2 linked regions of the Tribolium castaneum genome follow. The protein of the gene in region 2 purifies or fractionates together with the protein of the main gene of each other region. This does not show direct contact. Links are inferred from orthologs where the notes say so. Each region holds a gene or a part of one and is shown on either strand. Other genes may lie near its edges.

Region 1 (4,314 bases), on a different chromosome or scaffold from region 2:
CAATACGGACACTTAAGATTGTCACTCCAATGAACTCCTTCCAAGTTAATTCACATAACAGGACAGTTCTTAATATTATACAGAGTGTATTAGAAATACCTGTTTTAGTTTTAACACGTAATAAAACTCATGAAATACAACTTTTCTATATAACATTTTGCAAAATTCTTCTTTATAATTTTTAATGTTTTCCTCCATTTTCGGTCAGTGTTTAATAATTAGTTTGTCCGTTTCTGGCACAACGAAAATAGTTGGGCTCTAACTTTTGTTGGGTTCACGTTTCAGTATGTTATCTTTTTCCAAATTTTAAATAAATTTGCAAATTTTTTATTAAAAGATTACAAATAGAATAGTATATTACGAGTTTTATAAGACGCATGCACAGATTTGGAGTAAGTGCGACATCAGTATGTTTTTTTTATGTTATATCCATGAAAATTGGTATTTAAGCTTTTGGTTAAAGATCAAAAACAAATGTTTTAGGATTTTTGGAAATTCCATCCCTAAGACTCGTTATTTCAGTTAAATTTAAAGTCAAAATCCTCAGAGTCAAGTTAATTCGAAGTTGGAAATATGTTTTTTGATTTTAATCTGAAGTTTATATTTAATTCGACATTGTTTAAAAACCGTTTAAAAACGAACTAAATCGATCGAAACAGCCCACTTTTTGAGTCGATTTAGCAAAATCAAAAACGTTCTTCCAAAACGTTAAAAAAACAAAAATTAATACAGATTTCGACATAATTTACTGCTCTTTGTTTTTTCTGTTTTATACATTTTTATGTAAAGGTATTTTTAAAGGCCCTAAAATAACTTATTAGAATTATTATTATAAAACAACAAAATCATTTTCGATCAAATTTGAGCTGTTTTATTAATATTGCGAAAAAAACTGGGTTTTTCAATTAAAAATTCAGATAAACGTTTGAAAGAGGCAAAAAGATAGTAATTTTCTATCTAAATTAATGATTTTTCAGCTTTAAATCTTGCAAAAAAACAAGTAGAAAATCCATTCGCAAGGGGGTTTCCTATAAAAATCCGTAATTTTTGTAAGTAGAACTTGAAAAAACAATGAAACACCATTTTCATTTTTAACCGAAAACTCAAATAACGATTTTCATGGGTATAACTTAAAAAAAATACAGATTTTTATACAAAATTTAACCCCCTTGGGGGTGGAATTCTTATAAAGCACAAAACCTCCTTAAAGAATGATTTTTCAAAACAATCATCTACTGTTCAATTTAATCAATTAACTTATTACAGCTAATAAAACATAATTAATTACAATGTAAATGAAAAAAAGTAATGCGATTACGTTGTAATTAGATTATTGATTTAACTACATTATAATCTGTTTATGCCCAACTCTGTAAGAGGGGCTTTCGGCCAATCAAAACTTACCAGAGCTTCATTAGCCAATCGGATTTCCTCCTGGTACTGGAGCAGGCGCTGTTCCATATTGGCCCTTTCACGCTCCGCCTCCTCTCTCAATTGTTTTTCACGTGCCAGACGATTTCGTTCAATCTGCCGACGTTGTTTCTCTTCTTTGGCGGCGGCTTTCATTTGTTGGAGTTCCATAGAATCGGGTTTACGCCTCCGCATGAATAAATCATGGTTACCCATGCACAAATCAAGAATCTGAAACATTTGTTTTAACCACGCCCCCTCAGACCACACCCACTTACCAATTTATTCATTCTAACTTTTTGGCTAAAGAAGACAAAATTTGGGGAATTCTTATCGACCGGTTTGATAATAAATTTTTTATCGTCAAAACTAATGTGTCGTATTTCGGCCCATGTGAACGTCGTTTTTGGTTGTAGTTTATTTTCCTTTTCGTAGATGTTTAATCCTAGAGGTGTTACACCTAACCACAACTCAGTCTCTTTTTTATTCATTATCGGAAAATAATTAACACCGTACATGTCCAAGTCTTGTGCGATTTTTAAATACTCCATCTCGGCTTCGTCTCGCGACATACCCCTGTGATCTGAGTACCACACTCTTATCCGCTCCTCCCACATGTCTAGAGTCATCTGATACTGGTCGATGACTCTTTGGGGCAACAAATCCTCGTTCGCTAACATTCCCGGTTTGTACGTATCTAGGTCAAAGTCTCCAAACTGGGGGCTGTTAGACAGGGGGAACATTAACCTCAAACTATTTACCTTGGCTTGGACCGCGTAACTGGCTAGCAGGACGGACGCCTCAGGGGGGCAGTACACATCCATAGAGAGAATAGCTTGCTTAACTTGGAGAAAAAAATAGTGTTTTGTTACCTCTTGAACCAGCTCTTCGGCCACTTCTTCGGGGTAGAATTTCGCGAAAAACATGAACGACACCGTACTGTGGGGGTCCTTCTGGATGCTCTGGTCTTGGACTGAAACACACACATGATTTTGGGGGCCCTCTCAGCACCAGACCCACCTTTCTTGTCCAATTTTAACCAATTGATAAACCCTTTTGAATCTTCGTATTGCAAACCGAAATACCAAGTCTCGCGTAACCCGATTGTGCGGCACACTAGCTCGAATAAATCCCTGCCGGTGGCTCGCCACTACAATGCGAAAATTATTCACAGTTTGGAGAATTGAGACGGTAAACATACTTGTAAGTTGAACTCCAATTCGGCGTCCAATGTGCACACTTTCACGGGGAAACTCTTCTCGGATTTCTTTTTGCGAAATGGAGACATTTTTTCTAACATAATCCTCGCTTTTGTAAAACCTATCGCATTATTCAACCGTAAAATAACAACAACAAATAAGGCACAAACATCTCGGTTATGGCATTGACAGATGTCAATTCGGAATACCAACACAATGGCGGGAAATTACTAGGACTTTCGGGCGATGGGGCCCCAGGAAAGGGCTCAAGTGGGCGGTTTCAATCTATATCTTAATGTTTGTAACGCTAAATGTTATATAATGCTCCTGTCGGTTTTATTTTAGTTTAATCACAAAAGTCTAGAGGAAAATTTGGCCGGTAAAACAGATCTCCGATAAGCTTCTTGTCTTTTGAATAAATTGTAAAACCAAAAATTGCTTTTCTTGCTTTTTAATAAAAATTTAATCAGGAATAGGTCTTGATAATTTTATTTTTGACTATGAGGCTTAATTTTTGTTCGGTTTCATTGAGTATTTAGCTCAAAAACGTGTTTGAAATAAAAGTATAGCTTTTTTCGATTCAGTTCGGTGATTTCATGGTTCACGAAATAATTGCATTTCTGGGTGAAAAAGTGGAAAAATTAACTCATTTTCGATCAAATTCAGAACATGTTTAACTCGATTTACGCTAATATCGAAAAAAAAAACGCGTTTTATCTCAAAACTTGCTTAAACTCTCAAAAAATGTGACAAATTATAATATTTGTGTTAATTTTTCGATTTATTTTTGAGGAAATTTCTCAAAACCATTGGGTTTTTGTTTGAAAACGTGTAATATCATGTGAAAACCCAATCGTTTAGCTCAAAAACATGCTTAAACACTTTAAAAATGCGATCATTGTGTTCATTTTTTTAATTTTTCCGTATATTTTTGAAAAAATTTCTTAAAACAATTTGGTATTTGTTTGAATAACGTGTAATACATGCGAAAGGCCGAATTTTTTGCCCAAACACGTGCTTATGCGCTCGAAAAATGCGCTATTTGTGTTAATTTTTTTAATTTTTGAGGAAATTTCTCAAAACTACTGGATTTTTGTTTAAACAAAGTGTAATAATATCATGCGAACGGCCGAGTTTTTAAGTCATAAACGTGCTTAAACGCTCAAAATATGTGATACTTGTGTTCATTTTTAAATTAATTTTTGAAGAAATTTCTCAAAACAGTTGGGTTTCTTTTTGAACAACGTATAATCTCGAGAAAATCCGAGTTTTTATCTTGAAAAAATGCTCAAAAATTCAGCGTTTTTTGGATAATTTTTAAAAATTAATTGATTTTTAGTTTACAAACATGCATAATACAACAATAACACCATTTCCGATTAATTTGGGCAATTTTTTGGTTTTATTTGACGACTTTTCACGAAATAATTGGCCTTATAGACGCGGAAGTGGTAAAATAAATTTATTTTCGATCAAATATTGTGAATTTTTAGTTTAGTTTAACAGACAGGGTGTGGCGTCTAAACCCACATTAGAAGTAATGGTAGTTCTAATAATGATAGTCATCTGAAAATTTGTATATCACCATAACCTCTAAGGTCCTGCTCAATGAAGATATTTTCAAGATGGCGACACTTCCGGTTATACCGGAAGTCGCTATCAACTTCTTTATTTTAAATGGAAAACTATATTTTTTAATGCATTT
Region 2 (3,283 bases):
AACGGATGAATTGTAAACAATCGAGTCTTTTAAAATAATAGTTTTTTTTCGATATTCGTGTCGGTGTGGGAGTGAAATGAAAATCGTTCTGGTTTATTAACTTTTATTAGAACCATATAATATATTTTTGTGTTTAGAAATGTGCTTATGTTTTTTAAAAACATACCATTTTATATTACATAAACTAGCGCAAAGTAACTATTTACATATAATACAGGTAAAAAATCACGAAAATAACCGTTTATGTAAGCTAACTGATAACAATGATAAACCCAACTAATATAGTTGAGACCTTGCATTCCAAGATGGAGCTCGCCCGCGAAAAACTCGTTAATTTCCAACGAACAAGTGTTAATATAAATATTAAAAACTAGGTGAAAAAAAGGGATGGTAACAAAGTTAAAAAAGATTGTACTAAAATAAGATACAGGCATACAAGAACCGCAGTTTAGAACTGCAACGTATAAAGCGAATACATCTGAGTATTAAATTTGATTTGATTTTCAGATCTAAAGGCACGAAATCACATCAGAAAATATATTTCACGTTTTTCAGGCACGCCGTTTTTACACAATGTACAAATATACAATTTCACTAAATAAATAAAATCAAACTTCGACGCCCAAGACGCGGTCGACGACGTACTCGTAGCGTCCCGACTGTGCACTGTCACTTGGTTCACTGTCTTTCGAATGGCACTCGTCGGGGGGCAAAAAAGGCACATTGCTGTTCACGCGAGTGAAAAACGCCATCTTCTCCCTGACAAAAACAATAAATAAATAACACCAATCAAACAAAAAACACACTAAACTTACTTGAACGAAATGATGTCCGGTTTTCCATTCCCCGCTTTCGTCTTTCTCAACTTGTAAATTTCCTTTGAGACCTTCCGTAACATCTTCTCCACCTTCTTCTCTTCGGGTGTTTTCGGGTTTCGGAAACTCTCCGCGTGCGCGATCAAATTCTGAAACCTTTCGTCCTCCAATAGATAAGTGGCCAACTCGGAATCGCCTCGTTCTTTCGCCTCTTCCAGCTTCGCCTTCAACTCCCTCAACCTGTTCAACTCCGAATGTAACAAATCGAGCCGCGTGTGTTGGGCTTGGAGGTCCAGTTCCAGGTCGAGGGACGTCCGTGCCGTGGTCGGGAGATGGCTCTGCGGCCGTGAGGCCACAGACTGCCTCCTGAACCTCAAAGACCTCCTCTCGATGGCATTACGCTCGAAAGGCTTGCCGCCACGTCGGTACAGAGGCATCGCGCTGTCGCTATCGCTCCGATTCAGCTTGCAAATGTATTGGTTTTTGCTCACGTGGGCACTTGGGGTGAAGGTTTGCGACCTCTTGATGACCCCCCGGTCGTCCAGTGAGGCACCGGCCGCGGCCATTTTCATCTGTTTGGCGTGTTCGGGGTAAAAGGCACATTCGGTGTTGGTTTGCTTGTCGGAAAACGGCTCGAATTCCTCCTCAAGTACCTCAAGCACGTCTTCCTCCTCCTCTTCTTCATCCTCCTCTTCCTCAATCTCTTCATCGCTCTCGCGGTCCATACAGTTGTAAATGTCCTCAAGGGTGAAGTTTACAGTATTGAGGAAATTGAGAGGGTCTTGGTTTCGCGTCAGAGTTGAGGTTTGCGAGGAAATTATCGTCGAATCGTCCGAACTTTCTTCCTTCACTGAGGGTTTCGTTGATGGGTCAATTGGGTCGGACTCTTGGCGGTTGTGGGCCGATTTTGGGTCCTCCCGCGTGTCGATTAGTTGCAAACTCAGGATGTTGTACCATTTTTGGGACACTTGCTGGACGTTAAAGTCGGCCAGACTCACCTGAGCACAACCCTGCCAACAAAACAAAAATTATATTTTTGTCTACCTTTATTATCAGTTTGAAAAACTCACCACACACTTCTCCTGCTCTTCAGTCTTACTCCAAACATTCAGTTGCAGCGTCTTCGTGTAAATTTTATTCGCAGGTACGCTAATATTGAAAACATCGCCGAAGCTCGGCTTCTTCAAGTCCTTCACACACTTGGTGCAATACACAGAGGGGGTGCTCGTCCCGGATGGCAATAGCGCGATTTTCACAAACCTGCAACCCCCAAACTAGCCTCAAACAATCAAAAAAAAAAAAACTGGAAACTTACACTTGGGCATTTTCCGCGATGTACAACGCCCCCAAATTCCTTGCTCGTTCCACCCCCACGTTGAGTATACTCTCACCGGAGGCATACCTCAACTTGATTTGAACTTGCGCCGTTTCCACGTCTTGCTCCACCAGTTTCTTGCGATTTGAGGCTTCGAAAACCCCCGAATCGCCCGCCACCGACTCGTCGCTCACCGCCGCCGAAACCGACCTGGTGTTGGTCCCCGACGACGACGTCCGCGACAGCGCCGTTCCGTCGTGCTCCAAAATGGGGGGCGGCGTCTCCGAGATGGGGCTCAAGGGTGGGTCGCCTTCGTACGAGTACCGACTCAATTTCGGTTGAGTTTGGGGCTGTTCGTGTCCCAATTCCTCGATCAGTCTTTGCACTTGGCGGTCACGCTCGACTTGTTCGTACGTTGGGGGAGGGACAGCGCATGGGAGGTTTTCGTACATGGGGGACACAGGGGGCGACACTGAAGACAGGGAACTACGGGGGGACAAGGACGGTTGGGAGCGGCACGGCGAAGGGGTCGAGTATTTCACTTTGAGGACGCGCTCAACTCGTCGGTGGAGGTCCATCATGTCGATGGGCTTATCCAGATTGGAGGAACACTGCGGCCCGCCGTAAATATCCGTGAAACTTAAACCCGAACTCAGGGAGCCCTTGCTTGAAGTTGTTGATAACGAACCGAGACTAGAACTAGAACTGACTGATAGCGTGCTCGCCGAGAGCGTCTTCAGGTGGGACTCCAGGTGGGTCATTTGGCGTAAAGCGTCCCTTAGTTGTTGGAGCAGCAGTTGCTTCTCTTCGTGGAGTCGCAACCGGTCGGCTATCGCCCGGTTGGACATCTCGAAAGCTTTGTTCAGATCTTGCTCCAGTCTCTTACATTTCAACTGGATTCCGCTCATCTCCTCCTTCGAGCGCATTCGAGGAGTGATACTCCGCAGCTCCCTCAAAAGCTGTTCTTTTTCCTGGAAGAGGAGCAGTCGGTCTTTGTCCGACTCGACTTGTCCCGGTAGCACTTTTTCCTCCAAGTCGGCCAGTTTCTGTTGGATGTGTTGTACTTGTTTCCTCGCTTCGTCATACTCCAAACGCATTTTGGCCATTTCTGCCAACCTAGTCCCGATCGGGACCAACTCACACGAAAGGTCGG

The links.
Region 1: the proteins of kibra (region 2) and Mer purify together in Drosophila melanogaster (affinity purification with western blotting; 3 studies listed by BioGRID). This does not show direct contact. The link is inferred for Tribolium castaneum from reciprocal best matches to the Drosophila melanogaster genes kibra and Mer.

Annotation. Positions count from the first base shown.
Region 1 is NC_087401.1:7,792,501-7,796,814, reverse strand, and holds the start of Mer (merlin), read right to left. Parts: upstream 2,831-4,314; 5' UTR 2,711-2,830; coding exon 2,612-2,710; intron 2,561-2,611; coding exon 2,431-2,560; intron 2,384-2,430; coding exon 2,172-2,383; intron 2,127-2,171; coding exon 1,689-2,126; intron 1,642-1,688; coding exon 1,405-1,641; intron 1-1,404. UniProt on the Drosophila melanogaster protein: Regulator of the Hippo/SWH (Sav/Wts/Hpo) signaling pathway, a signaling pathway that plays a pivotal role in organ size control and tumor suppression by restricting proliferation and promoting apoptosis.
Region 2 is NC_087402.1:5,113,690-5,116,972, reverse strand, and holds the end of kibra (protein kibra), read right to left. Parts: coding exon 2,131-3,283; intron 2,076-2,130; coding exon 1,886-2,075; intron 1,826-1,885; coding exon 816-1,825; intron 760-815; coding exon 609-759; 3' UTR 524-608; downstream 1-523. UniProt on the Drosophila melanogaster protein: Regulator of the Hippo/SWH (Sav/Wts/Hpo) signaling pathway, a signaling pathway that plays a pivotal role in organ size control and tumor suppression by restricting proliferation and promoting apoptosis.